Linked DNA regions of Nothobranchius furzeri. The protein of the gene in region 1 interacts with the protein of each later gene in a biochemical or structural test. Links are inferred from orthologs where the notes say so. Each region holds a gene or a part of one and is shown in the gene's direction. Other genes may lie near its edges.

The links.
Region 2: of the proteins of cdk1 (region 1) and h1-0, one has a biochemical effect on the other in vitro, tested with the Homo sapiens proteins (3 studies listed by BioGRID). The link is inferred for Nothobranchius furzeri from reciprocal best matches to the Homo sapiens genes CDK1 and H1-0.
Region 3: of the proteins of cdk1 (region 1) and runx1, one has a biochemical effect on the other in vitro, tested with the Homo sapiens proteins (2 studies listed by BioGRID). The link is inferred for Nothobranchius furzeri from reciprocal best matches to the Homo sapiens genes CDK1 and RUNX1.
Region 4: the proteins of cdk1 (region 1) and pbk form a complex in vitro, tested with the Homo sapiens proteins (2 studies listed by BioGRID and IntAct, with this or other methods). The link is inferred for Nothobranchius furzeri from reciprocal best matches to the Homo sapiens genes CDK1 and PBK.
Region 5: of the proteins of cdk1 (region 1) and rpa2, one has a biochemical effect on the other in vitro, tested with the Homo sapiens proteins (2 studies listed by BioGRID). The link is inferred for Nothobranchius furzeri from reciprocal best matches to the Homo sapiens genes CDK1 and RPA2.

What each region holds. Positions count from the first base shown.
Region 1 is NC_091752.1:60,127,018-60,133,296, forward strand, and holds the start of cdk1 (cyclin-dependent kinase 1), read left to right. Parts: upstream 1-2,577; 5' UTR 2,578-2,673; exon of another isoform or gene 2,674-2,678; intron 2,679-2,733; exon of another isoform or gene 2,734-2,797; intron 2,798-3,024; 5' UTR 3,025-3,030; coding exon 3,031-3,067; intron 3,068-3,293; coding exon 3,294-3,450; intron 3,451-6,279. UniProt on the Homo sapiens protein: Plays a key role in the control of the eukaryotic cell cycle by modulating the centrosome cycle as well as mitotic onset; promotes G2-M transition via association with multiple interphase cyclins.
Region 2 is NC_091756.1:32,652,772-32,658,898, reverse strand, and holds h1-0 (histone H1.0), read left to right. Parts: upstream 1-2,334; 5' UTR 2,335-3,762; coding exon 3,763-4,347; 3' UTR 4,348-4,771; downstream 4,772-6,127. UniProt on the Homo sapiens protein: Histones H1 are necessary for the condensation of nucleosome chains into higher-order structures. The histones H1.0 are found in cells that are in terminal stages of differentiation or that have low rates of cell division.
Region 3 is NC_091743.1:80,942,819-80,948,801, reverse strand, and holds the start of runx1 (runt-related transcription factor 1), read left to right. Parts: upstream 1-1,149; 5' UTR 1,150-1,325; coding exon 1,326-1,413; intron 1,414-5,983.
Region 4 is NC_091742.1:11,217,379-11,223,400, forward strand, and holds pbk (lymphokine-activated killer T-cell-originated protein kinase homolog), read left to right. Parts: upstream 1-1,794; 5' UTR 1,795-1,859; coding exon 1,860-1,923; intron 1,924-2,447; coding exon 2,448-2,640; intron 2,641-2,799; coding exon 2,800-2,939; intron 2,940-3,513; coding exon 3,514-3,683; intron 3,684-3,777; coding exon 3,778-3,907; intron 3,908-4,035; coding exon 4,036-4,221; intron 4,222-4,345; coding exon 4,346-4,578; 3' UTR 4,579-4,740; downstream 4,741-6,022. Other genes in the region: N-acetyltransferase ESCO2, read right to left, coding at 5,231-5,363, 5,528-5,712. UniProt on the Homo sapiens protein: Phosphorylates MAP kinase p38. Seems to be active only in mitosis. May also play a role in the activation of lymphoid cells.
Region 5 is NC_091745.1:71,982,592-71,988,570, forward strand, and holds the start of rpa2 (replication protein A 32 kDa subunit), read left to right. Parts: upstream 1-2,476; 5' UTR 2,477-2,604; coding exon 2,605-2,617; intron 2,618-2,839; coding exon 2,840-2,925; intron 2,926-3,132; coding exon 3,133-3,234; intron 3,235-3,413; coding exon 3,414-3,527; intron 3,528-4,881; coding exon 4,882-4,956; intron 4,957-5,214; coding exon 5,215-5,331; intron 5,332-5,979. Other genes in the region: smpdl3b (acid sphingomyelinase-like phosphodiesterase 3b), read right to left, coding at 1-100, 206-303, 457-670, 778-865. UniProt on the Homo sapiens protein: As part of the heterotrimeric replication protein A complex (RPA/RP-A), binds and stabilizes single-stranded DNA intermediates that form during DNA replication or upon DNA stress.

The sequences.
Region 1 (6,279 bases):
AGATTTACTCTCAGGTGGAGCACCAAAGCTTCTGCTTTTAATGTCACGCCTGATACTTAAAACTTTATTATTGTTTTTTGAATGCTTTGTAATTCCGACCAGACACGGAGACAAAAAGGAAGAGACAAAAGGTGGGGAGGAGGGGTTCCACAAAAATAAACAATTAATGATGAACAAGAGTCTGCTTCTAGATCTGCAGAAAAGGGAAACACAGCAATACAACAGGAGCAAGCTATCACTGCGTCAACCTGATGAGGAAATATAAAATCAACATTGTTTTACTGAACAATCACACGATAATAAATCACAGTGCATTTAGTGTTAACCACAGCCTTAAGACATTTGTTGAATGTGCCTAAGTCCATACTTATGAGCGCACCATGTGAGCACCTGTGTGTACACGAGCTTGTATATGAGGTTTCTCGATAGGAGTGTCCAATAGAGAGTGTGAGGGGCCACAGATCTACCCCGCAAAGATGTGTAAGAGATGGAGGAAGCTCAAAGTCCCAGAGAGCCAGGAGCTGCCCCAGAGCACAGGGACCCCAGGGAGACTGCGACCAGAAAAGCCCCTGCCCCCTTTGAGAGGCACAATGGATTGCCCCAGGGGGCCACAACCAGCAGCCGGCAGAGTCCCAGCGGATATCAGTGGCAAGCCCACAGGCCCACCCGCAGCCTCCTACCCACCAGCCGGCCGAGCCCGGGACCCAGCGACCCGGGACCCAGCTTCTGATAAAAGTTAGAGATAAAGGAAGAAATTTCATTTTCATCTTTTGAGAGATTGTTATTAATATATAAAGTAGATGTTTTTTGCCTTTCCACGTTTTTTTTCCAGATTAAAAAGAAGGATGAGTTTTTTTCTCCGTGTTCCAACCATCTAGCCCGAGACCTTTTAAAAGCTCCCCTTGCCTTTTTCTGGAAATAAAGGTCTAATTTTCCCCTTAATGAGTGCAAACGCACACATGTATACTTAAAATTTCATTAAACTCTTTTAAACAATCAGTATAAGCTTTATTCTGCTCTCTTATTTGTTGCTTTCCAAAGCGCATTGAGAAGCGCTGACATTCAAATTTGAAAAGCTCCCATTTTATGGTAGGTGTAATTTCAGACATTGAATTGAATTTAGTAGCAATTTTTTCAATGCCCAAGCAGTAATCATTTTATTGTAGCAAGGAATAGTTTAATTTCCAATATCCAGGTTTGCTACAATTAGTGGATCTTAAATTTGATAAAAATATATCTATCCCAGCATGATCAGTTAAGGGAGCAATAGCAATATTACAGCTTCGAACCCAGGGAGCTAAATTATCAGAGATTAGCCACAAATCTATACGCGATTTTTGAGATAAGTCTGTTTTAAACCAAGTAAAGAGGTTATTTTCCAAAAGGTGTAAAATTCTCAGGGCATCTAGTAAGGAAAGTTTACCACAGAAATCATAAATAACAGGGTTAAAATTATCTGGACTACCTTTTGCAGGAAATCTATCTGAAAATAAATTTGGAGCTTCGTTAAAATCACCGCCAACAACCACAAATGCTGAAGGAAATTTGTTCAATTCCATGAGGATTTTTATCAGATAAAGAGTTGAGGAGCGTGGTGTTAGAAACCCTAGATTTAAAGCCATAAACATTTACTAAAATAAAAAAATTATCTCCACATCTAATGACCAACAGAATCCATCTGCCGTCTTCTGAAACCTCGGTGTCTATAACTTCACCATTAAATTTAGGATGAAATAAAATTAAAACACCCCCTGAAAAATTAGTACCATGAGAAAAAAATAGCCTCCCCCCACCCATTGATTATGCCAAAATGTAACATCTTTTGAAGAGGGATGAGTCTCCTGTAAAAAAATAGACATCCTTATTTTGCTGCATACAAAATAAAAAATAAAGCTTTTCTTTTGGTTAAATCTCGAACACCCCGTACATGTAGAGAAAAACACGACAAACGGAAATCAGACATCTAGACCACAGAAGAACAAAACTACTTGAACAGTAGTTGTATTAAGTTATGTGAAAAGTTGAGAAATGTGCAAAACTTGAACTCACAAGCCAAAACCTAACACTGAGTTATCAAAATTGGAACAGACCCATGTAAACTATAAAGCAGGATCATACTACAAATTCAAAAACCCATAGCAGGTATCTAACTATTTTTAAATAGTATATGTTTCTCCCTCTCTCCTTTTTTAAAATTTTTTATCCCTCAAAACCTGCTCAAAACTCAAGAGTTGGAACCAACCAATCAGTATAAACAGGTGCCAAACAAAACACAGCCGTTATTTCTTTCATTTTGTCTACTTAGAAGAAGATAAGGCCAGAGGAATAGAACATCCGAAGCTTATTGCTTGGTTGACAAACATCAACATTAAACACGGTTCATCCAAGATGATAATGACATCAACTACCATGCTAGTGTTTAGAATTTTACACGTATTTGTAATATCCTACTACCCGTAAACGCATCTAAACGTTTAAACGTGTAGTTGCTACGTAGGCGCCTTGTCTCCCGCTCAACCCACAACGAAATGTCTTTATTTCTGATTGGTGTGTTTGAATAGTATCAGCGTATCTTATTGGTGCATTTTGAACTGCCACTGCACTGCGGTCTATTCAAAAGAGTTAGTCAACTGCAGTCAGCTCGTGAGCAACCCGAATCAGAAACGACACAAAGTAAGGTTGGATATTTTTCTTACCAAACAGCATTTATCCATCTTCAGATTGAACAAACGTGTTCTGGCTAGGAAGTGTGACGGCGGTTAAAAAGTAGTGCTGCTTCACCTTTTACCTTTTAGTGGTAGGTAGGCTGACGTTGGTGGATAAAGCAGAGGAAGCCGTTTTAAAAGCTAGTCTAGTTAGCCGTAAACCACCGAAGTCAGTCTCTTGATTTAATTGTTACACACAAGGATGAGGAGTCCAGCTACCTTTAGCTCCGATAGTGTCAGGAAAATATTTACCAGGAAGTATAATAGGTCGGCTGGAGCTGAAATAACAATAAAACACGTCTTCTCTTTTTTCCTTTAGGCAAAGATGGACGATTATGTCAAAATAGAGAAAATTGGAGAAGGTGGGTCTACTTCAAAAACGTTCCAGATTTTTTTTGCATCGTTGTGATTAAAAAAAAAGTTCTCACAAAGTATGAGTTTAAATCAGTTCCTGGACATATTGTACTTTGTGTGATATGTATCTTTGCGTTTCTGATTTGTGAAACATGAATGGCCCGGTATGATGTGTGCACAGGAGGGTTGTGTCCACATGTATGATTATTTCTTCTGCTGAACGGTTGCGTGCAGGCACCTATGGGGTCGTGTATAAGGGCAGGCACAAGGCCACAGGGCAGATTGTGGCTATGAAGAAGATCCGTCTCGAGAGTGAGGAGGAGGGTGTTCCCAGCACTGCTGTCAGAGAGGTGTCTCTACTACAGGAACTCAAACATCCCAATGTTGTACGGTAAGGAAAAGCTCCTTCATCTAAAACTTTAGTTTTTTCAAGGTTTTGCTCTCACTTTTTGTTGGAGTCTTTAGTTTTCTCGCTGTAATCCAGCTGGGGCTCTGGCAGATGTTTTCCACTCCCCTCCTTAAAAGTACCAGTGTAGTTTTCAGCTTGTCCCAGGAATGCTGAATCTAATTCCTCCTTTTTTTTCCATTTTCCATAATTTTACCATCTTACATCACACCTGTAACGTCACAACTGGTTTGAAAATCTCACAGAACTTCACTAAAACACTAGTTTAGTGTTTTTCTACAGACCTACAACAGCTGACGCTGTGTACACGTGACTTTTTGTGATACTGCTGAAACCTCAGGCTGTTTGTATGAAACAACCAATCATCTGATATTTGGTGGAAGGGCTGTAAAATTTCAATTCAGTTTATTAATATCACCAAATCACATCAAGGGTCGTCTCAGAGCACTTCACAGAGTAAACGTTCAAGTTCAGTTTATTATGTCAAGCAAGTCAATTTTATTTATGTAGCACTCATCACAAAGTGATTCACATAAAATGGGCCAACTAATAAAAAAAGTTTTCTATCTAAGGCCGGGGTCTCTAACCTTTTGGAGCTACTTTTACACAATGAAAGTACCGAAGAGCTACCGCCATACAATTATTCACATTGATACTTTCCATGTGTGAATATGCTTATTTTAAAAATGCTATACTTACTATATTAACATGCATTGTATTCACAAGCTGTTTTCTCTGTATTTAAATACATCCATATTGTAACAAAAGTCAAAGGAAAATTGTGACATTCCTGTTTTAAAACAAAAAAAAAACATTTTTTTATTAATCAGATATTTTCAGATAATTAACAACAAATGTACTTCGTGTGAATGATTTGACCTTTCATTGCTTTTTGAATGGATCAGTAACCTTTCTGAGCACACGGGAACACCTAAACTGCTCCTGTTGACTCCCGGGCCCTGTGTCCTGCCAGGAGCCTTGGCAGTAATGTCAGTTTTTCATAGTGTAAGCAGTTTTGTCATAAATGATCATACTTCCTAAAAACTAAAATCTTTTCAAATAATTATGCTGTGAATATTTTCCCAAATTAGGCAACACCAAAAAAAAATCCCCTAAAATGAATAATGCTGAAGATATTTTAAATAAAATACAAGCTAAATGTGATGTAAACACAGAATTCTAAATAGTTTGAACTGAAGTAAAAATGTACAAACAGAAGTAATATTTCTTCCTGCTTTCTTTGATTCATTGAATCATTTTTATAGGTTATTTTGCTAATGAAAGTTAAGTTTTGATCCACTAGTGAATAACTGCAGGTAAAATGGTGCTGTGCTGCCTTTTTTACGTTAAAATAAGGTTGGAGGTTTATCCTGTTTCTGAGCCTCTGGATCATCTAATCCGTGGGTCTGATGGCTGTGTAGGCCTTCAATACTCCGTTCATTACTCAGTGAGGCAATAGCTAAAACATTTGAGGGAAATTTGTTGATAATAAGTCACAGGAGATGTCCAGATGGTTTGGAAGCCTTTGTTCATCCAATGTTCAAAAACGGCATTTAATTTGCTTTTACTTTAGAACAGACTTCACTGTTGCCCAGAATATTTTACTGAGGATGTTTTCTACTCCTTAATAGTGTTAATTTTGACCAGAAGTTTTAATTTAAATTTTGTCTTTTGACTAAAATTGACAACATTTTTGACCAAATTTTACAAGATGAATGAGGAGTCAGATGCAAGCAGGAGTGTCATGGCTGACTGACACTCCTGTTGCTGGTCTCAGCTCAGTTTGCTGCGCCATGTTGTGTTAAGCCTGGTTTATGCTTCTCCGTCAGCTCCGCAAGGGACAGACACGCACGGATTGACGGAAGCGTTTTGCTCTCATACTTCTCCGTCTCCTGGAGAGTGTTGCAAAGCAATTGCCCGGCAGGACCACAGAAGGTGCAGCGCTGTTCTGTGGTATCCTGTCATGTATCCAGTCCAAGATAGTGTGTTTATATTGTGTTTTTTGTGTATATAAGAGACTTTTAACACGGACATATTTGTCTCTCATTCTCCCACCACTTCATGCACTCACCACCTCTAAACCCACGTTTCCTGTCATTTCCGTCCACAAATAAAACGCTTGCTGCGCATCGTTTCACTCCTCCAGTCACGGGAGGATTAAACGTTCATATTTTTAGAGTTTTTTCGTGAGGTATTCTTCAAGCTTCTCCGTGTCTGCCGCTAGTTATCCTCGGCTCTCTTTGCAATGGTGGTGCTGTAAACAACAGCGGCGTCCTGACCAATCACAAGCTTGCGTAATCCGTCTCGTTCGACGGATGTTTAAAAAAGTGGGCTCGACTCCGTACGTACTTGCGTGCCTGCCGGAGCCCTACGCAAGGACGGATAATGGCGTTGCGTGTCTCCGCACTGACGCAGACGGAGAAGCATAAATCAGGCTTTAGGCTCAGTGCTTTGATGCGAGGCTTATTGTGTTCTAAAAATGAAACAACTAAATGGACTGTATTTGATATAGCACCTTCTAGAGTCCTGGAACCCCCCAAGGCACTTTACAACACAATCAGTCATTCACACACACATTCATACGCTGGTGGGAATGAGCTACGATGTAGCCACAGCTGCCCTGGGGCGCACTGACAGAGGCGAGGCTGCCGAACACTGACTCCACCGGTCCCTCCGACCACCACCAGCAGGCAAAGGGAGTGTCTTGCCCAAGAACACAATGACAGTGATAAACTGAGCGGGGCTCGAACCTGCAACCTTCCGATTATGGGACTCTGAAAAGGGTGGGTAGTCTAAGCTGAAGGGGGGGTGAGA
Region 2 (6,127 bases), on another chromosome or scaffold:
TGTGTGTGTATTTGTTTGCGTCTTCGCCCTCTAGGTCTGCTAGGCAACAGCATTTGTTGCATTTTCCAAACAGGAAGTGGGAGCGGAGTAATACTCTGGTGGGGGTGACTTGCTCTTTAATGTCAGAAATCTAACTATTTATGTTAACATTAAACCCATATCTGCATTCCAGTATTTTTTCATAACATTTGATAGATTGGAATAAAAAATTCCTTTTTTCGTTTATTGTTCCTCAGTGATGACATATTTGGTGTACAAGCAGCAAAGCAGATTGGCAATATCAAGTAAGATTCACACCAAACTCAAAAATAAAGAATAAAGGTACCGAACATAGTTGAGCTATTAACAGCTAGTTAGTAAGAGATCTGTTACACTTCTGGTCAGGCTTTCATATTCATGCCAGAATTACGAGAAACTGACTGATTGTCAAGGTCCGACCCCTAGATATATCAATAACATTTAAAACAGTTTCAACTCAATGTTAATAAAACATCTGCATAATAATTATTATTTTATTATGTATTTACAATAGACAAGTAAAATAGGTTCTCGCCATGGCAGGTTTATGATGAAGGTACTAATCCTGATACTCTATCTAGATACTTTAAAGCCCGAAGGAGTTTGATACCTGTCTGCAAAATTAGTCTACAAGGGGTTAAACATGCATTCACATAAATTGCTTAATTTATTACTGTGCATTCTGAACATGAAATATGTTGGCTTGACTTACTGAAGTGCAAATGGAGGAGCTCAAATGCAATAAAGTCTTCAACAGCTGTGCTTAATAGCAAAATAAATAAATAACAATTTTGAGTACCTGTCCACTGTAGTGACCATTATGCATCAAAGGGTTAAACTAGCCATAACAAAACAAAGTATAGGTTCATAAATCTGGTCAGAGCTCTCTTTCCCCAAACTGGGGCCATCCAAAGAGCTTTTATTTCACAAATTCACGTCAAGCTGCATTAAGGTCAGATGGAGTATTAGTATTAGTACCTTAATCAACCTCATTCATTCCTATACACGTGTACTGCCATGAGGATATAGATATAGGGTCAATTTCATTCATTCATTATTGTTATATTATTATTATATAATAGAATAAAATTCATAACGTAGTCCTCATGTTTACATTATCAAATACATTGTGTAGTTTTAAATACAATTTTATTATTTTGACTTTCAGTGATTAAAGGGCTAGAAGTGGTAAAATATAACGTTTTCACAAACTAATTCACAATTAAAAACAGAACCTTTAATGAGCTACATTGTGTCCCCATGAACAGCAGCACAGTCCTTTTCAATGCCATTTCACTAAATTCTATGTGAACACGTGGACCGGTTTCACTGGTAGGGTTCATTCAACAATATCGGTCTGGTGTCATAAAAAGCACTAAATCCTGAAAGAAACGGCTGCATTACATGAGCTATTCATCAACACAACAATAATCCACCTTCAACACAAAGAAAACGATATAAAACAGCAATTATATAATAAATTAGGTCCAATCCGAAGGCACTTGGGTGTGCGCGTGCGTGCACGTGTGTTTATGTGTGTGTGAAATCCCGATTACAGGTCCAGTAGGACGTCCCTCTGTCGGCGGCTGAGGGGAGGGAGTGGTCTAGTCCTCCCCACGGCTTCGCTTCTTAAACGGGGCACAAGCAGGCATCACTCCGAACCGGACCGGACCACGAAGACCCACCTGCTCCAGTCTCCACACTTTATCTAACTATAAACATCCGCAGCAGAAACCACCAGTCTGGAGTCGGGAACAGAAAATGAGTTCATTGTTTACTTAGTTAATTATCTTCTTTTCCCCTCATCACTTCAGTTTGCACCATCGAAACATTTTCATCTTTTCAAAAACTCCCTCACCCTTTCATCTAGGACTAACCCCCCTCCCTTTTCTCTCTTGTGCCTCTCTCTCTCTCACTAACACACACACACACACGCACACACACACACACACACACACACACACACACACACACACACACACACACACACACACACACACACACACACACACACACACATCCTCCCTCTTTAGCCTCCCGTGAAAGCACACTCACCCATTCACTCTCTCCCCTCTCCATCCTCTGCCCACCCTCTTGTAAACAAACAAAAACATGTGGAAATTAACCACAGTGCGACTCGTTTTTAAAATTAAAGTTATTGTTGATCACCTTCAACATAACTACAGGAGCGCATCAGGCTGTAAAAGCCAGGCTTCAGTTTAAAATCATTTTAATTAAAGCGCATCATCCTGCAAAAGTCTGCATTATAGGGGTTCTCCCCCCTTAAAAGCCACCGGATCCCCTAAAACCGATGCTCATCAGTGGGTTTTACATAAAAAAGGTGAATATCTGCATATCATTCCATAAATATAGTGAAAAAAATAAAGTAAGCATGCCACAAAAGCACTACTTCAGCAGCTGTGACTTTCATAGGAATCAAAATGGCGTTGCAGGGAGGGACAGCAGCGCTCCTGTTAAATCAAGAAACAAAACTGTAGAAATATCATAAAGTTTCTTTATTAAAGGGAGGTTTTCTATGCTTTGCGGCGGCACTCTTGACCTTATAACACGGCGGGGACCTAAATGTCACAGATCTAATTGAATGCGCTCTGATGCGCCAGCTCCCTAACAAAGACAGCCATCACTGCGCTCATTTGCACTGAAGGACTTTGGTTTCGGCCGCAGTATCTCCCCCCTTCTTACCCCCGCGCAGCTGGACTCACACCTGGCCACTTCCGGACGCAACCCTGTCCTAAAATGATGTGATCAATTAAACGAATGCCCCCAGAACGAGCCCTGATGTGTTGGAGGTGCTGGCAACTTTCCTGACAATGGAGCTCCAGAGGCGCCTGCTATAGTCGCACTTATAAGCATTTCTGCTCCAAAATCATCAAATAAAGAAAAGCCACGGTGCGGATCACCGCCCAGATGAAGCCCCGATGGAGTCCCACCTGTCACCTGCACATTACACGCTGTGACATTTCATTTATAGGAGGTTTAACAGTAAATAATCTCGAACACGTCATTCAAAGTCAATGGCCGGACTGTGTTAGTTGGGAAAATGTATGGAAGTATTAAAAGCATAAACGAGAGGCTGCGCCGTCCGAACCACGTGCACCAGCTCCAGCATAGATTAGATTTTCTTATGCATTGCGCGATTTCCGCCCAGGTTCCGTCTGTTTGGGTCAATTTAGCGCGAATTGTGCAAAATTGTTCACGGCACGCACTACTTCCAGTGGGTTTTCCTGGAATAAAAGTTGTTCGCCGGCGCGGGCGGAGGAGGACAAGTGGATGTCCGTGGAGCCGAATGTGCCTGCTATCAGCCCGTCCCGCTCGGAGGGACACAGCTCCTCCGCGGGGTTCACATTTGACGCGAGTTGGAGGATGAAGAAACACAAACGGGACGGCGCCAGTTCCATGGAGTCCGCTAGATCAGCTGCTGGCAGTTGGTGTTCTCAATCACGTCCGCAGATAGGCTTCATAGGCTCACTGGAGCGCCTGTGGAATAAAGACACTTTGGTTCACCGACATACTGATACCTCTCTTTGCTTTTGGGAGACTCAATTATCATTTTCAATCCTTCAAAGACGATAAAAAACGAACTTAAACCTACAACTTTTTATTTTACTGTTAAAACGCTCACATTTTTTTTTGTATCTTCCTGACGATCAAGCCAACCCAGGCGGGTGAAACCAACACATCCAGGACTTTTATTTTTAAAAACTTGCTGGGAAAAAAGTCACCATGGCAGAGACGTCGGGAGCTCCAGCCAAAGCCAAAAAGGCGTCGAAGCCTAAGAAGCCCGCTTCTCACCCCAAGTATTCGGACATGATTAAAGCGGCTATTGTGCACGACGCCAGCCGGAGCGGAGCGTCCCGCCAGTCCATCCAGAAGTACGTGAGGAAGACCTACAAAGTGGGCGACAACGCCGACGTGCAGATTAAAATGGCCCTGAAGAGGCTGGTGGCGTCCGGGATGTTGCGCCACACCAAGGGAATCGGCGCGTCCGGATCCTTCCGGTTGACCAAACCGGAGGACTCCAAGAAGCCAGCCAAGGCTGCGGCGTCCGCCAAGCCCAAAAAAGTGGCCAAACCCAAACCAAAGAAGGCGGCCAAGCCCAAGAAGGTGCCCAAGACCCCGGAGAAGCCCAAGAAGGCAGCTGCCAAGAAAGTGAAAAAGGTCGCGAAGAAGGCGACACCTGCGAAAGCCAAGAAGGCTCCAGCGAAGAAGTCCAAGGCGGCCAAACCCAAAGCCAAGCCGGCGAAGAAAGCAGCCAAGCCCAAGGCGAAGACACCCAAGAAGGCAGCCAAGTCTGCCAAAAAGAAGTGAAAGTGGGACAATTTAAATCGGACTGTAAATACTTGAGGAAATGTTTTGGTATATGTATTATTTTTGTAAGGTTTCATGCAAATGTCAGCTGTTTGTACCAGTAGTTTCTCTAAAAGCATTTTTTATTTGGTTTTAATAGCATTATTTTGTCTAATAACTGAACACAAATAGGCATCGCTGCATTAGAGCGTGTATATAAAGTTAAACTAGGAGTAGTGATTGTTAGAGCACGTGTTCATATTGGAAATATGAGTTTTGTGGAGCCTTCATTACCATGTACAGACCATAGGCTCTAGAGTCCTCATTAAACATGCATTGTCTATATTTAAATATAAATATTTTATTTTATGACATCTCCAAACATTCTGATGTGTTCAGACACTTTAATGCTATTCAATAAACCTTTATCATCTAAAAAGGTCAACTTGCTTGTTTTTCTCAGTTTATTAAAGAGGTGGTTTAACTGCGTATCTAATACAAATAAGCGCATTAAATCACCCATACCAATATAAATACCTTAAATCATTTTTTATAACAAGTAAACTAATTTTCAAGAAGCTGTAACAGTTATAGATTGAGAGCTCTCCAAAGAACTGGTGTGGATTAATGTTTTATTGTGTTAAAGCAGAAAATTTAATGCAGAAATAGATAAAACAGAAGTTTTGCTCATTAATTTCCTCAGTAGGGTGACGATTGATCTTTATTCAGAGTTAATGGGTTTTAAGGAGAAAAATGGAACAAAAGGAGCTGAAATCAAAACAACTAATTCGGATTAAAAGGAAACATCAATTTAGGAGAAAGTGGTCTTTAAAACGGTACTAAATCTATTTCTAAGAGATCATATTGCAGCAGTGATTTTCTTCTAGATTCCTAACCTGTTGTCATGGGAGGGGGGGGGGGGGGGGGCACGCCCATGCCCTCACGTTCTGCCTCTCACCTGGCATCACAACACTGCCATCTTGTGGTGGTTTATATGAATAGACGGCTTCTCTCCCACAGATGAGGACAAGGAGGATTAAACACAAATTGTAGTTACATAGACAGATGTAGGATGGGCTAGCTCATAGATATTATATAGTAGTACATTTACTATAGTTTATATTTACTATATTATATTTATGTTGCTATGAGACTGCCCCTTGTGGAATAATTAGAGAAATGCAACCAGATTGGTTGAGTAAGATTTTCAAACGTCCACATGAGTATGGGAAATGTCCTGTAAACCTACAGCTGTTGGCCCCACTTCTTTAAAACCCGCCGTACTCTCTGAAACAACTTAAAAACAATCCCAGAAGAATCAGTTCAAAATGACTGAAAATCAACCAATGAAAGGCATTACTCTTCCTCACCCTGTAGGTGTTTCTCCTAATACCTTTACCTAGGTTATTCTGTTCCCTCCCAGACTGTGCAATATTACCCAAGAGTTCTGATTGTAAGTATGTTTTTATCCCCCCATCATATCATATGCTGCTACTACTACCCCTAATTCTATAACACAATACTTTAATCACTTTTGTGAATCGCCTGCACCGACGGCTTAATTACTTATTCACCAGGATGCAGTCATGTATTTATTTGTTGAGTTATCCAATTGTTTGTTTTGCACTATCCTACAGGGTACTACTGTAGATCATTTTTACTGTATATATTGTATATCATATTTCTATTTCACCGGTTCCTTTGTCTCTCCTACTGTTTTGAGCATGTACATGACACAAGAATTTCCCTCGGGATAAACAAAGTTGTTCTTATATTATACTGCTACTGAATTCTACCCTAA
Region 3 (5,983 bases), on another chromosome or scaffold:
TTACTGAGCCAGGATCCTCTGGAGGTTTCTTCCTGTTAAAAAGGAGTTTTCCTCTCCACTGTCACTGCATGATTGCTTAGTATGAGGATTGCTGTAAAGACTCTGACACGATGCAACCTGCTGGGTTCCTTATAAAGGAAACTTTTTACTGATTGGCTTAATGAACTGACCTGTATTGGAATGTTTACTATGTGAAGTGCCTTGAGACGACTCTTGTCGGGCTTTGGCGCTTTGTAAATAAAATCAAATTTAATTGAAAACTTTAATTAGTGTTGTGCGCTCTAACCTCTGAACTGTCTAAACTTCATTGCATTTTACTGACAAATTTAATCAATCAAACTTCGTACTGGTCTTACAGCTTGCATATCAAATACGAAGTTTTAAGTTGGAAAATTTCTAGTACATTGATACTCTATAGTTTTTATTATTTTTGCTCTATATTAGATGCATTTGTTGAATTTTTTATGTTTACATTTTATTCACATCATTTTCTTTATTCTTCCTAACAAACTAAATCTAATTTTAAGAGTGTTGATGTGCTAATACATTGAATAAATAAGGAAAAAAAGAAAACTCTAACAAATTAAGAAAACAATTTACAGATTAGACAATTAAACAAACAAATAAACCAACTTTCTGAGACTAAATTGTTGACAAGTTGTGCACCCTTCCTTGTTCTTTTGTCTCAAGTTAAACTTGAATAAAATGTCAACAGAGAAGCTGAGACCAGAGGTGTAATTTAAGCAGGGGTACACTAAAGACAAACCCATCCAAATCAAGCTTTTTTTGTTGATGTTTTGTTTTATTGTAATGTCAAAATAGTTTGAAATAAAGATAGTGACAGAAAAGAAGTGAGGCTAAGAGAAAAAATGGAGAAAATCATTTGAGTAGCTAAATTAAATTAGCAGGTTTAAAGAGCCTGAGGGCAAAGTGGAGCTCCGTCCCCTGTGGCTACGCTTTAGAGAAGGGAGGCATGAATTAAGCTTGACTGGCTCTTTCCCTCCTCCCCTTCCTCGCACTTTATACTCCACGGTCTTTCTGGTTTTTACTAATATGAGGGGTGAGGTAAAAGGACACAAAACGAGTGGGTGAGGAGATGAGAGGGAGGGTATAAAAGCAGGTTGTGAAGGTGAGGACCAGCTGAAACGAATCTGTTCGCTTTTGCAGCTTTGTTACTAATCAATTTTTTTCCTGGAATTTTAGAAGATAAAACGTTTTTTTTTTTAATAATTGTTCAGTTAATGCCTTTGCTGTTTATTTTTGTTTGCTAGTTGTTGTTCGTGGTGTTGGGAGGTCACGGCTGTGTCTGCACCCAGGATTCCACTATGAACCCTGGGGTTTTCACCAGTACTGGCCCCCTGTCCTGGGCCGTGTACCTGATGAGGAAAGGGCAGACGGGCACCGGACTCTTCGGTAAAGCTTGCTTTTTTTTTTTTTTGCACCTTCTAGTCTTTACCATCACACATCACGTTTTTAACTAAATCAAATACTCAATGAAAAGCATGTCATATTCCACTTGTTGGTATTTTGTCTGATCTCGAGTTTCACATCACAGATATCTGGTAGTTTAAAGGTCTGCCCAGATGCGGGTTTATCCAGTAGTTGGGTGTATAAGCAAAAGTAAGAGCATTGCTGGTGTTTTGTTGTCCTTGGTAGAGTTTTATGGGTCATAGTGTTTTCTCAGGGCTGTCATGGGTGATCGCTTATCATGATGGATTCAGTTAGCATGGGTATTGCATAAGCCTGTTACTGGTTCCTAAAAACCAGTGGTTCCAATGGTCCATGTATTAAATGCATCATGTATTGTGTGCGATTACCTCTACGATGGTTGTCCTATCATTAAATTAAACTTACAATCTCTTGACGCATTTTGTTTCAGACTATCCTGGGGGCAGGATCATCCATCCATCCATCTGTCTGTCCATTTATCCATCCATCCATCCATCCATCATCTACATCTTACAGATTTGGGGTATCAAACTAGTTGTGTGTCAGGCTGGATCCGAAACCTTTAGAGGTGCCACATGCTCTGTTATTTCCACTCAAAGCAGCTGTTTTAGTAAACATTTGAACATTTTCAATATGATGCTCCATGTGTGCTCACACCCTACAACCAGTGTCAGAAACTGTCTCTGGGCATGCGTATTGAGACCTAGCTGTAGCGGTAGGCCTCCAAGCATCTTGTTTTTGTGCTAAGTGCTTTTTCTAGGGTTTTTCTGCCAAAGCAGATCCAACAAAACACCAGGGAATACGTTTGTCCTGAACCAGTGCAAACATTCCCTTTGATATGAAACGTTTTATTTGTTAAAGAGCAGTCTGTAAATACTTGTGAAAGGGACATATCATGCAGAAGTCCCATTTGGCTTCCATGTAGGTCTCTGCTGACTCTATGGCTGTTTTTACAGGACCAGAGCGTTTGTAAAACGGGATTTGCCGCGGCTCCCTGAGGAGGATACAGGTCGTTTATAAGATCAGACCATGGCGGTAATGTGGCGCAATCGTGGCAATTTTATAAAAGATTAGATGATGGCAGCATAAAGGGTGTATGGAGCGGTCCGCACACTTCCGTTTATCTTGGACATAACTTGCTTTTTATTGCGATTGAAGCCGTGATCGTTACTTTTTTTTAACAAGCAGCTCCCAAAGGTGTCTGTCCCCATCAGTCCCTGTGCAGTCTCTGGTGATCTGAGCTTCAGCTCTAACAGAGAGGCTCATGGAGCGCTGCGGCGCTCCAGTTTGCCATCTCAGCTGATTTTGTTCAAAAAGCAAACCTTATTGCCTGGGTTTACTTTCATTTTCAATAAATTTGCCAGCCGGAACTCAGCAGTAACTCCCCACGTCATCATGACACCTGCCTCTGTTGCGCCAGGGCGCATACGACAGACCATTACCGCAGTATTACTACCAAGCGAGGCGGAATGAATGCCGCAAAATTCGCGCAACGCCATGCCGGCATGTCTGTCTTATGAAAAAGGCTTATAAAATATAATAAATTTACACCACCACCACCACCCCTTACCTCACTGGTCCACACTTAGGGAGGCTTCCATTCTGGGCAAGGTGGAACAGCGGCTCTTCTTGAAGCCCCTCCCGTATATCAGAGCTCCTCACTTCATAGCAGCCATTCATGGATGGGTGGGCGTGGCCAGCAATCACTTATTTGCATTAATGTGACAGAGCTCTGACATGATTAATTATGGGAGTTACTGTAATTGTCATGAATAAAGCTATTTTATTTGAGATCAAGGACTAAAATATTGGCCAAGGATGCTTTCCGCAATTTTTGAATGATTAAGAGACGTAAATGCCAAACCAGCTTGGATGTCTTCCATGTTACCAAGTTAGAACCCCACCCCTTATCAAGCGATGAAAATGCTGTTGAACTTCTGCTAGGACCGTTCCTACCTGCACCATCACAGAGAACATTACGCTAAGTTGGTACCTAAAGATCCAATAGATATTTAGCTGTATGATAAAGCTCACAAGCCATAGCGCTCAATACCCATAAAGCAAGAGGAATCTTAAGGAATTTAAGGTCAACAACGTGTAGAAATTTTGACTTTGGAACTAAAATAAAAGAGTTTTGAAAAAAAGATCTTGAAGAAAAATGTCACACTTTGTGTCCAAGGTTGTAGCGGAAGTGGTTGACGTCTGAAAATCCTACCAGTGGCAAAACAAAGACAACAGAGAGTCTATTCATGACAGCATCAGAGCAAGCCCTTAGCTGAAGAGCAACAGCAGATAGGACCATGGAGACAATTCAGAGATGACCCTGAGACAGTCCAGCAGATAATAGCAGGATGTAAGATGTAGGCAATGGGACACCATAACCGAGTGGCTAGAACAGTGTAAAGGAAAATCTGAGTCTAATCTGGGTTAAAGGTTCTATAGTCAGAGTGGGATTCTCCACCATGAGTGGATCCAGTCTGACAAACAGGCAATGGCTAACCAAGTGGAAATCATGGTGGTCTACAATCTGCAGAATAAGTGGCGGTGAAAGATTCGGAGAACCCAAGTGACTAGAACATCGGGGTAAAAGACATGAGAAGATGCAGAAACACCAAAGGATGAGAGAAGAACTAGAGGTTGTGGAGCGTTAGGACCTGAGTAGGACCAGAGGTCATTAGAGCACTTAGAGTTGTGACCACCCAAACTAGCACCTGTGGAACTCTCAAGTTTTACCCGACACAAATGCATTACGTGATCTGTAAGCGGCGCCGTCACTCCACCCACACACATCACACACTGTGGGTGGGGCACCAGGTGCCCACCCTCACTCGAACACCTTTAGTGACAAAGCGGATTGCCACCCTTGTCCCACAGTCGTTGATGGGATGAGCCACAAAATTAAATTAAGGGCACCATGTGACCAGTCTGTGGGCCAGTGGCGGTGATGCTGAACATTCAGCTCAGTCGGATGGGTTTTGACAGACTCTGAACCCAGAAACAGCAGCAGGCAGAACCAATCACTCAGCTCCCTAGCCAATCAGTGACTGTTGGGAAATGCAATCCAACTGAACCAAACCCATCCGAGTAAAGCTGAGTGTTGCTGCTGGAAAGGTGCATTTAGAAGGTCCCTCAAGCTCTCAGGCCTGCGGTGAAGGACTCTTGTGGAAGAAGTTCATCTATTGATGTAAATCCTGATTGATATCTGGAGGATCATTGGAGAGGAGGAGGATGAAAGCTCAGGTTACAGGTCAGTCTGTGGGAAATGCTGGATGAGTGAAACCTAACTCTTCTCCTTGTTCCTTTCTCATCACAAGTCTGTTTCTTTACCTACATGATTATGTAGCTCGCAGCGTCTGTTCTGTTTAGATCTGTGAGGAAGTCAGAAAGGATGAGATGAACAACAGAGGAATATATCAGAATAACATTCTGTCACTTTTTCTTTTCTTTACTGGTTAGAAAATAATCACAGATTTTCTGCAGATAACCAAGAAAAGTGTAGATTCTGGTGACGAGGAACCGAACGATTTCCAAAAGGATATGTCCAACTCAAGTCACGATGAGAGATGAGGTGTTTACATTTTAAACCCCCCCCCCCCCCCCCCCCCCCACACACACACACACACACACACTTGGCTATGAGGAGCTAGAAGCAGAGGCAAAGTGGCCTTTAACTAAATGTCCTCTGACAGCATTTGGATGTGACATAAATTACTGTTAAAATTCATTTTTAAAAATAGCTTTTTCTGATTCCATCCAGATGTTTTACTAGCTCTGTGATTCACACTGTTCTAGTCTGTTTTCAAACCAGTATGAGTCACTCTTGTTTTTATTTTTCTGCATTTTGGTTCAACACTTTCATGAAGTTTAAATGCGTAACAGAAATTTTGTGACTGTATATTTTGCTTCCTCTTGGACTCCCTTGAAAATGATTTTTAATCTCAAAAAGACCTTCCTGTTAAATGAAGAATAAATAAATACAATAAAATAAATAAGCAGGTTCTAAACAGTGTGATGGGGAGATTTGTAAATAACAAGATATAGGGAGGCTAAGTCTCCTCCCTTTCCGGGTGGCTCATGGGTCCCCGGAAGAACGAAAAAATGAATGTGAGTCAACGGGGCTAAAAACGCTGTGGCTACACTGTAGCTCATCGGTGTAAAGCGCTTTGGAGTCCTCTTAATCTGAAAGGCGCTATGGAAGTGCGGGCCATTTCTCATCATTTAACTGATTAGCACGGAGTTGAAGTGTAATAAACACCTGGAGCATCCTAAATCTTTTATGATTTAAATAAATTATTTAAATTGTTTGTTAACTGATGTTAGAATAATGTAATTTAAAAACTATAGAAACAACTTATTTAGCTCTTTGACTTTCAGAAGTTCCTTGAATTAGATCCCTTACTGCCCTCTACTGTTTATATGATGTAATGTGTGTGTGTGTGTGTGTGTGTGTGTGTGTGTGTGTGTGTGTGTGTGTGTGTGTGTGTGTGTGTGTGTGTGTGTGTGTGTGTGTGTGTGTGTGTGTGTGTGTGTGCGT
Region 4 (6,022 bases), on another chromosome or scaffold:
GCCGCATTAACCAAGCAGAGGTATGAAGAACACTACTGTAGTGCGGTTCCTGACACTTCCACGTAGCACCTGTGTCTCATAGAATGTGGTGATCAACAGTATCAAATGCTGAGGAAAAATCAAGCAAGAACATTATTAATGTTTTGCTGGAGACAGACATGCCAAAAAAAATGTTTTTACGTGTCATATTTTGGCAATCTTGAAATTATTCAAAAAGTACTTGACAGACTCAGAGATGGTTTGACTCAAACTAGGGAACTTGTGCCATAATTGCGACAGGTTTTCACAGAAATGTTTATAATATGTTAAATAAAGATGATTAAAAGTCAGATTCAAGGGGAAATTTAAGAGCTGTGAAAACCCACTTATATGGAAAACATTAATCTAGATACCTCTGGATCAAAAGAGGAAATAGTGAGCATATTTCACTAGTGAGATAGAGACAGGCTTAAATTAATTGCAGCGATGTGCAAAATTTATGAGTCATCAAGTGTTTTCTAAAGGTTTTGGACAGATTTGCATGAGCACAGCCAAACGCAAACGTGATTAATTTCTGAAATCCCGAGAGGCAAATGTGTTTTCCTCCAGACTCGATGGAGGAACTCAGTTTGGAACTGCTTTTGTCTTGAACTACAGGTGAGTGTGATTTTTTTTTTCTAGGCCAACACAGCAGAGGAACAAAGTCAGCATTTATTTCATTTCCTGCATGATCACTGGTCATGCTTTGATTTTTAGTTCCAAGAGCTTAAACGTGAAAGATAATGTCAAAAGTATTTTGTTGATACCTTTAACTGGAGAGCAGATGCTTCACGTTTGCACTGCTCAGCAATACGTCCGTCGTGTGCTGCAGTCCACATGTGAAAACCACAATCAGAAGTAGATTTATGGCACATAAATCCTGGATGATCCTGAACTTTAAGTGTTCACATTTTATGACCATAAAAGGAGAGTTTATGTTTTTAACCAATAATCTGTGTTTTACCAACAGTAGATGTTGGCACAGCCGTAGAAATCGGTTGTCCCACAGCAAATTCTCTGTTTTCTAATCAGTAACGGACCCACTCTATTTTATAAAGTGCTCCAAAACATGTGGCAGTGGTGCTCACCAGCATGATCTGATTTAACTTCTAGGTGAAACAGGAACTGGGAGAATAATAGAATGTCCCACTCTTCCCTTCCATGTCCATTTGTCATCAGACCACATTCCTGTTTCTCTTCTAGCGAGGAGATTGAGCTGCACAGCTCTGTGCGATGTGGGAAAAATAGGAATTAAGTTTGGGATCATGAGAGTCAAGGTCGAGGTCTCGACTTTTCTTCTTTCGACAAAAGCTTGAAGTTGGTGAAACAAATTTTAACATGCTTCATGTTCCACTCACGTTTCTCAAGTCTTAGTAAAAGTGAGCTTTAAATCATTATTTGTTTGAAGGTAAAAGCTGCATAAATAGTTTTTAATACATAAATTAATGTATATATCGTGAAACAATGCACCATAGAAAACAACTAAACTGAATCGTAGAAACCGCCACAAAAAGATTGAAAAAACCTAGAGGTGTTTATAGATTTAACATAAAAAAAAGTAAAAAACACGTCTGATTTCAGATGAAGAACTTAGCTCATATATCTGAGACAAATCGGTAGATAAATAATTATGTAGTGATAAAAATGCATGTTGTAAACAAACTTTGAGAAGGTACACTTGTTCAGAACCCTATTTCATTGACATGAGCACCCTCTAGCGGTGCACAGCGGCATTACAATAACTGCATTAGAGAGTGGTTTTGTCATTTTAAAAGCGCACTTTTTAGAGAGCAGCAGTTTGTCCCTCTTCAGCTTCCGTGTCTGCCTTAGTACTAGTTTGAATGTTCAGCGCGGTTTCTTTGTTGAAGGAGATTATTTTTAGATCAGACAGCAACAAAAACTCGGGTAAGGTTACGTTTATCAAATTAAAGTTGATTCTCATTGGACTGACATGAAATCCTGTAAGGTGCTAAAAGATTAACGCGGTATTAACAGCGTTTACAGTTGGTTTTAGCCTTTTTTAACGTTAGGTTTGGCTTCCCCTCTGTCGTTTGCCTGGGTGGTTTCTGTTCAACAATATTACATAAGACTGAGTATAAAGCGTATTTCCCGTTGTTAAACATGCTTGTACTTTTCATTTACCTTGATTTAAAATGGTCCAAATCCTGCTACATTACAAAACAGAAACATTTCCTCAATAACACCTTTGCTAACGGGCCTTGTGCCAGCCTCCACTCAAAAGTTGTCATTTTATTTCCGTTCTTAATGGTAAACGGGCAATTAGACATTATAGATCGGCATTGTTCTATCAAATATATTAAACTTTCAATCGGCGCTATTTAAAAGCCCTCAAACTCGTTTTGCTATTATTGTACAGTTTAACATCTGATCAAAATAACGTATTTGCTAACTGTTATTTTTTCCGTAAGGTCCAATATTGTTCTTGAACGGAATGGCCTCCCATCCAGTCAACGAGGGCGCGTATAAAACCCCTAAAAGGGTCGGGTCAAAGGGCTCCAACAGCAGCAGCTGTGGTGACAGCACCCCTGTCACCATCCCCGCATCACCTTTCATGAAGAAGCTGGGCTGCGGGACTGGAGTCGACGTTTACCTCATGAACAGGTTTGATGTCAGGGGCTCACACAGCACCTCTTCCTGACATCAGGGTCTCTTCTAAACTTCAAACCACTGTTTCTCCATTCAGATGGATGATTAAGTGATTATTATATCTGAAAGTGAATCATTTCAGCTCCAGTAACAAATGTATGTTTTTATCTCTAGAGTGGGAAAGCTGAATGCATCGCCTTGGGCTGTGAAGAAGATCAACAGTAGATGTGCATCCAAACAGGCGGACGTTTATCAGAAACGTCTCAATGAGGAGGCGGAGGTCCTAAAGGGAATCGATCACCCAAACATTGTTGGTAAGCCAGCCTTAACATGCATGAGTGGTTTTTCTAATTCCCACAAGATGCTCACATCATCCTGGACACCAAAGATGTGTCATCATTGAATTTTCTCAACAATAAACAACCACTGTGCAGATTTAGCTCATTTAAAGAGCAAGTCACCCCCTACCAGATTCTTACTCAACTCCCACTTCCTGTTTGACAAATGCAACAAATGCTGTTGCCTAGCAGACCGAGAGGGCGGAGCCGCTATCAAATACACACACAGGCTCACAATGATATTGTGACATCATATGGTACCAGCTAACGTTCTAGGGTACCTCTTAGCCAATAGTGATGGCGGATTTAAATTCAAAAGTAGTGCAGAGTTTTTACCTGACTACGGCACAACACTGACAGTTTTAGGCAGAAAACTGACTACACGTGTCTGCAGCACTATTAGACACACATTTATATAGTTTATCAGGGGGGAAAAGTTGATTTGGGGGTGACTTGCTCTTTAAACATACCGTTGAAGTCTGGAGGCTGTATGAGATTGACCGTTTTCACAACTCTGTTTCACTCGCATTGTTAATTCTGTCTTTTTGAGGTTTTCGTGCCTTCACTACAGCCAAAGACGGCTCCAAATGCCTGGCGATGGAGTACGGAGGAGAGCAGTCCCTCAATGACCTGATCGAGAAGAGGAAGGAGGAAGGTCTGACCGCTTTCCCTGCCGCTGTTATAGAGAAGGTGGCTCTGCATGTGGCTCGTGGCCTGATGGTAATTAACTTTATTGTCAAAGCTTGGTGGAATGAAACATTATTCATTATCTTTCCTGTTTTAAAACAAAACTTTAAACATATTTGCTTTGCAGTATCTCCACAATGAGAAGAAGCTGCTGCATGGCGACATGAAGTCGTGCAATGTGGTCATCAGAGGAGACTTTGAGACGGTGAAGATCTGTGATGTTGGCGTTTCTCTGAAGTTAGATGAGAACATGATAGGTAAACGTTCACATTCAGCTCTTTACTGGCAACACAATATGTATTATTTCTACATGTTTCTGCTATGTTATGAATTGAATTACAGTATGGCTCCATCGCAGTAAATAGAGTGCTCTCTCTCTCTTCAGTGGCTGACCCAGAAGCAGAGTACATCGGCACAGAGCCATGGAATCCCAGAGAAGCAATATTAGGAGGAGAGATCACCGATAAGGCGGACATCTTTGCTTTCGGTCTGACTCTGTGGGAGATGATGACTCTGGCGATGCCTCATGTGGATTTGCTGGAGAATGATGAAGAGGAGGAAGAATATGAAGGTGAGAAGTTCTGTAGGAACATTTCAAGGTAGAATTTAGTAGCTGCTTCCTTTGACTGGAACATTACAGAAGAAAAGTGTTGTGTGGTGAAAGCTAACAAGTTTAACCATTGGGTTTATTTCAGAAGACTCAATGGAGGAGACATTTGATGATGAAGCCTACTATGAGCGTTTAGGAACACGACCGCCTCTGGACACGGAGGTTCTGGGCAGCCCGTACCGCAGGGTGGTGGAGCTCTTCTGCGTCTGCACATCAGAATGTCCTAAGATGAGACCATCGGCAGCTCAGATCGTCCAGGCTCTAGAGGACAACGCTCCTCTGGGCACGGCTGCGGAGGCGGCGATCGTTATCGACTGATTCACTCAACAAGCACATGTTTACATTTCAGTCTAAATCAGAAGTTCTCAGTTCATATTCCCCACATTTGTTTGTTCTGTAGATTGTTTTTGTCTGTCAGCTTTTCCTGTATTTGTATTCGTTTGTGTTTCTGTCAAACAGTAAATGTTACAATTCTAACAAGTTCGTCCCAATTTTTCCAACATTTCCAATGAATCAGGAGACAATCTGCAGTAATGAGTCAAAACCAACTGGTTTATTAAAATGTACAAAGCACAAATGCCCAACAACAAAGATGGCATCCATGCATCAACAGGTTTGTGCTTACCGGTTTCGACAAGATCCGGCTAAGATTGGTGTTTTTCTAACTGAAGTTTTGCTTTAACATGAGAAGTTTCCAGTGACTGTAGGTTGAACCTCTTCATGTAGGAGAAACATTCTACTAACCCACACAGTGGAACTGGCAGCACTGAACAATAACACTGAATCTCAGTCTCAAAAACTCGAGCTATTTAACAGACTTTAATTACATAAGTTTCATTTACACACAGAACTCAAGCTCAGCCTAATCTCACAACTTTGCTTTAAAAACTCTTGACAGTCTTGATGTGATGCAGAAAACTGAACAGCTTCATAACAGAACATTCCGAGTCGTTTGGCTCGTTTCCAAACTTTAGGAGACAAAGTTGTACACCAGGAAGGTCGGCGTGTTGCAATACTTGGTTGCAAACAGCTTCCCATCCGGAGTCGGATCAGAGAAGGCGATTTCCTCCTTGGTCAGGTAACTTCCATATATGAACGTTCTCCTAGACAGAATTAAAAAGATTTAATACTTGGAGTCATTTTGGACTCATCCTGTTGCAGGAGTCAGGAAAAATGTATCGTCAATGAAACTTTAGCTCCAGAACTACTAATTAAATCATTTTATCCAAGTGACCGTATTTCTAAACCAGGCTGAAGTCGACCTTACCTGGCGGTGTCCAGCATGCGGGTCGCGATGCTCTGCCGTCGGGATTGACTGAAGACCCAGACCCGACTGATCCCACACACAGCTGGTTCTGGGACGGTGGAACAGCACCAGGCTCTGTGTCGCTCCATGAAGTCATCCTTTGTCATATCTTTGTTCGGAGCCGGCTGCTCGAGGACTCTGTAAGCCTGAAGGGGAAACAGGAGATGTTGACCTGCAGGCACGACTCTTCATGATGGAGATTTAGGAGTTAAACATCAAAACACGAGTTATGAGTAAAAGGTGTGGCACAGTTTATAGTTAGCTTGAAACGCGTCGATTAGGGCTGGAAGTAAACGATTAGTTTTATAACGATTATACTGCCGATTATTTTATCGAATAGTCGACTATTCTAATGACATTTGTATAACACTGCTTTTATTGTGTTGCAGTCGGTTATGTTCTGGTGACGTGTAGAACTTGGGGAGAGCAGGCTGCTGCCTGAGAGGTGGTTGGAGA
Region 5 (5,979 bases), on another chromosome or scaffold:
CACATTTCTGTTACTCTGTCATAGATGGAGTTTGCTGATGGAGGTAGCTGACTCTTGGGGTGGTAGTCATGGTTACCCAGAGCAGAGTACACTTTAGTAGCTGAAGAAGGAGAAATGCAAAGCACATTCTTAAAAAATACGTTGTGGATAAAGGGTTAAAAAACAACAATGACCAACACCTTCTCATATATTTCTTCACACTTACTTGGAAAAACCTCCTTTATGATATGAGTAAGGTTGCTGATAATGCTGACCACTGCCTCCTCTCCTAGATCCTCATTTGGTACATGCGGTGTGTCGTCACTGTGATGTTAAATAGAATCATGTTTAGGGATTGAATACTAAAAAGGGAGATTAGTTCAGTTGACCCGTATTTGAAGAGGGTAGAACATGCAGCACTTTTCATGTTTTGTAAAATAAAGTTATGAATGGAGACATTACAGATGGACTGCGTACCCTGTCCATACGATGAAGTCCGGCTCTGGTAGAATATGCTTCATGGCGTAAACAGAAGAGTTGATCAGGTGCCAGGGTGAGTCACACACATAGTCTCCAAATATACCAGCACCAGGCGCTGGTCGTTTTCCGCTGGACGCACACACTGACTCTGGGTTCTCCGTTAGTTTAAACGTTGGATCCCAATGCAAATCGGTGATATGCCAAAAGCTCCCTGGATGAAACCAATGTGTAAATATGCACAGTAAATTGTCCCTACACATGGGGGGAAATGCAAGAGATAGGCTCTTTAATGCATAACAGAATTTAATTGCTTCTTACCTGACAGCGCAAGACCCTCCTTGAAAAGCAGAGAAGAAATGAGGATCCATACTGCAGACATGTTGGACTCTGGGACAGCAAAATACATTCAAAGAAAGCCAAGGAGAGGTCTGAGGGGTAAATCATAAAAGGCAACGCAAGATAAGATAGCTGCAGCTGTCGGTGAAGGTTCGCAGTCGTCCAGTCATAGCTGCAGGCAGCTGGTAATGACAAGCCACGCCACACAGCCACAGCCGATGCAAGCTGATTGATTACCGGTATTTTGGTTTCCAAAAATAAAGAGCAACATTTAAAAGCCTGCAGGAAATAAGTAATTTGTGCAAATTTTTTTGGGTAAGATTGAAATGTATATGCAATGATATCTAGGCTGTGAGTGTGCATGTAAAAAAAAAATCAAAGAAAAAGTCAACAGCTGCACAGTTTTTCCACTTAAAGGTGCATTATGTAGAAATGAAGTAAAAACAACATCCTGTGGGAGAATTAGTTTACTGCAACCTCTTTAAACAACTGGACCTTTTTGCCGGCTATCGTCAAATTACAACTGTCGGCGCTGCAGTATTAGCTCGCAGGAGACACGGCAACCCCACACTCACTGATGGTAAACAGTAGTTACACCCCTCCTTCCTTATTTGTTTTGAAAGAAGAAAAAACTGACAATCCCCGTAGCTGAGATGTTCTCATTGTAAAATTTTCACTATATTCTTACATACTGCACCTTTAAACCAAAATCAAAAGAGTAGCTCACATTTGATTGATATAAAATGAATAAACTTAAAGTTTCTACAATACTGGCTGCCACAAAAATAAAATTAACATCAGGCCGTGTGGACTAATGACAATGCAAAGTGTATTTATGCACAGGCGACGCTGTAAAAGGGTTTATACTAGTAATGGCACCTCAGGGGCAAATTCCTCCATAGATTATTTTTATGTCTTCTAAATATAAACCAGTTAGTTTCCTGTCGGGAAACTGAAGCCAAATGAACCCACATGTGGTCATAAACAACTCTTAGAGCTTTTATGAATTCCAACATACTTTTAAGTGTTTCATTACAAGAAAAATACAAGTAAAGTTGAGACTGGTGCTGCTTTCTTTTCATACACGGGATCTATTACTGCAACACCTTTTGATTTGCCAGTCAATTGCATTGCTTTGAAATAATTAACAATCAATATCAATAATATTATTATATACATGCAAGACTGTTTATTTAGAACCTGCCCTGTTAACGTTGAAACAGTTTATTTGATTCAATTATTATTTCTTAAAATATAGACGTAAAAATTTTAGGGTCAGTTCATAACTTAAAATTACTTAGTTTGTGCTTTCATTTATTGTAGAAGCACAATAATATTTGTATTTGTCAAAATAAAAAAAAATTGTAAGAAAGATTTTCCGTGTGCATTTTGTCTTTTACGACAGTCATTGAATGCAACTAATGTGCTATGCAACCTGCCTAAAATATTCCCCGTATTTTGACGTCAGGTGGAAAAGCATAAAAAAACAAAAATGTCTTCTTTTAGTTACACACATTATGCTATTTTACGGAAATACATTTTTACAAGGATTATATTAGTTATTATTTTTATAGAAATGAGTCGACAAAACGTTGAAAAAAATTCCTGTGAAACAAAGCTCAGGGCTAAATGTACCTTAGTTGTTACGAGTTCGCGGGACTTATACTGTGCGCATGCGTTGTACATTGAGTTTAGCGCGCGAGTTTACTTAAGGAGAGATACTGCGTAGCTACATTGGGATACTAGGCCGTTTCGGAAGTTTTAAAACATTTGCACACCTTTTTAATACGTTATTTACGCGGTGGCACCATGTGGAATCAGGGTGAGTTGAATGCAGACTCGGTTATTTGTGTTTAAAAATCAGTAAAGGCACGTAGATGTCTGTTTGAGGCTAACGTTAGCAAGACTTTGGCAGTCAACGTTCGCTTACCTCATGAGGTTAACGCTAATGCTATTACACCGAGTTGTGTATGTTACCCAAGTACGTTTTACTTCGAATAATCGCTCCTGTTTACTGTAGTCTAATTGTTTTTTGATCTTTCAGGAGGCTACAGCGAGTCTGGAGTGGACGGGGGATACACTCAGTCTCCTGGAGGATTTGTTGCATCCCAGGGAGGAGAGAAGAAAGGGGTCAGTTGTAGTCTTGTTATAGCCAGATTTTAATCCAAGACAAACCTGACTCACGCCCAAATTGATTAAAAAATAAGTGCTAGGTTACACTTTTTCTCCTACATTCATTTTACAATCCAATGGATCAATATCACATACTCAGATATTTGTAGATTATGCAAGATTAAATGTTGATAGACTAAAAATTGTATGATTTTTTTTCACCAGAGAACGCGTGCCACACAAATCATCCCCTGCACAGTGTCTCAGCTGATGTCCGCCTCACAAGCAGACGAGGCCTTCAAAGTGGGAGATGTGGAGGTTACCCAGGTAAGCTGAACCAAGGCAAAGTGTACATGTGACAGCATTCAGTTAGAAAGAAGTAGAAAGTCCCTACATAATGGTACTGTAATAATAATGAAATAGTGATGGCATAATTTTGTCAGGTTACACTAAAATAAATGTTAAAATGATGAATAGTAGTAATTTGCTTTATCTTTGTGTTATAGGTCACCATTGTGGGCATCATCAGGAGTACAGACAAGTCTATGACCAATATCCAGTACAAGGTTGATGATATGACTTGTGCACCGATGGATGTGAAGCAGTGGGTGGACACTGAGGTGGGTGATTAAACTGTTTAGTGATTTTTTTTTACTAGTTAAGATTGGGTCCATTTCCTAAAGTCCAAGTCCACAAGGTTGACCGATATTGTTTTTCTATTACCGATATGTAGGAGACACTGTAAGCAAATGGTTGATATCTAGATGTTTTCCACCTTACTTTCCTGCTAAAATGTCACAACATCAGTTAATGCACAAATTTTCTGAAGCTGAATCAGTTTGTGAACTCTAAATTTAACTTACTGTTGAATCTTTACTTTGTGCACTCTCATTTTAAAGTCAGACACCTAAATAAAGTTAGTTTAGAATATTTATTATGCAGATGTTATTAGTGAATGTAAAAATACATTCAAAGTAATTTTCTCCAACAGCACCGGGCTGTTCAAATCAGCTTTACTAAGGACAAATATCGGTCAATACCGAAGTATAAACGCTGGTAAATATCGGCCGAACGATTTATCGGTCTACCCCTTCCCCAAAGTTAGGACCAGATTTTTTTGTGAAAACAGAAATTTAATTAAAAATAATTATGTTTTCTCTAACGAGATAGAAGGAGGATTGCTGTACTGATGCTAGTCAGTGACTCGATGCAACCTGCTGTGTTCCTTATATAGGAGCATTTTCACTGATTGGCTTAATGAACTGACCTGTATCGTAATGTTTACTTTGTGAAGTGCCTTGAGACGACTCGTTATTTGGCATTGTATAAATGAACTTAACAAAATTGAATTAATGTTCTTTTTTGTCATATTAAAGAGCAAGTTCACTGAGAAACCATTTTTCCTAATTACGTTTTAAAGGATCGGTCACTCAGAGTTTAACATGCGGGCTTAACGTGAAAACAGTCTCCTACCCCTATTTCCTGCATTTACGTTTGATAGAAAAAATGAAGAAAAACAAAGTTTGGTTCACAAAAGCCTAACAGATCTATGTCACACTGTCACTTAACATTCATGGACTCGCCTATCTCATGACGGGGAAGGCTGTTGTTAGTTAAGCATCCAGGAGAGGACAGAGCGTGTCTCGTTAGCATTAGCAACTCGACAAGATGGCAGAACTCCTTCAGGTTTGTGCTATATGTGGAGATAAAACGCAGAGCAGAGTCAGTGGTAGAGCTGTGTTGCTGTTAGCCAATCAGAGGATAGATGTCCAAATATTAGGAAATAAGACTCCAAATCCTACCTACGTAATAAAACAGGAGCATCTGAGCTTTTTTCCTCAGAGAATGACTTACAAGGCATGGATTCCTACTACAGACCACTGCAAATGTATTAAATATGAGTAAATTTGACTTTTAATATAAAAAGTTTACACAAAGGTGTGATTTTTGAATTATGTTCACCTGTGTGTGCAGGACCCGAGCGTCGACAGCGGCGTGCTGCCTCCAGGAACATATGTCAAAATCTCGGGAAATCTGCGATCTTTTCAGGTGAGTTTAGTTTTACAAACGTCTGTTTTTCCCCTGAAGTAAACAAAAACTGTTTTTAAAACATCAACATTTCTGCTGCTCCAGGCAAGAATAAGATTAGACAAACAAAACTCATTGTTTATGATGATTGTGAAAATGTGAAAATGTTTTCATGACTACAATAAGTACACAGCCATTAATCCCATGGCTGTGTACTTATTGTAGTTCCTCTGTGGAATCATCCTTGAAGAAACTGAAGCTGTTTGTTTCCCGTGTCAGAACCACAGGTCTGTCGTGGCGTTCCGCATCCGGCCCCTAGAGGACATGAATGAAATCACCTCACACATGCTGGAGGTCGTCCAGGCACACATGGCACTGGGAAAATCTCCGAGCACGGTTAGAAGCACCGAACACACATTTCTCAGAAGTCTCCTTATGTGCTAGAAGTCGTCTTAGAAAGAGGAAGTTGAAGAGTTCAGACGCAAACTGTTTTTCTTAAATGTCATCATTTAAGGTGAAATTTAACAGAGCATCACTATTTTTATTTTCCATAACCCGTCTCTAAGTTTCACAGAAAATTGCAAAAAAAAAAAATTTTTTTTAATGCAACATATTCTATAATTAAGATGTTTGCAGTTTCACATCACTGCTGTTTGGTCAAGTTGAAAAGTTCAAATTTGCTCATTTATATTCTTCCTTCTAAAACTGTTTCATAGTTTTGTTTCTACAAGAAATGGCAACTTTTCATCTTTATGCAGACATGGAAGCAGATTTTCTCCATACAGTAACTCCTCCTCATGTAGATTACCAGAACACGAGGAGATGGCGAGGTTTTTCTTTTTGTCACAAGTAGTTCAGAGATCTGCAGATTCAGATCACATGACCAGTTGGAGACTGGAAGGAACCCTAATTTAAAAAACTGAAATAAAAACTAGCGAGTCTGTAAAGAATGAACAGATGTTCTGAAATGTTAGTGAATAAAAAAGTTTTCAAGTCTGTATTTCATGCAGATTTTTTGCTGATATTGAAGAATTTTAGAGAAAA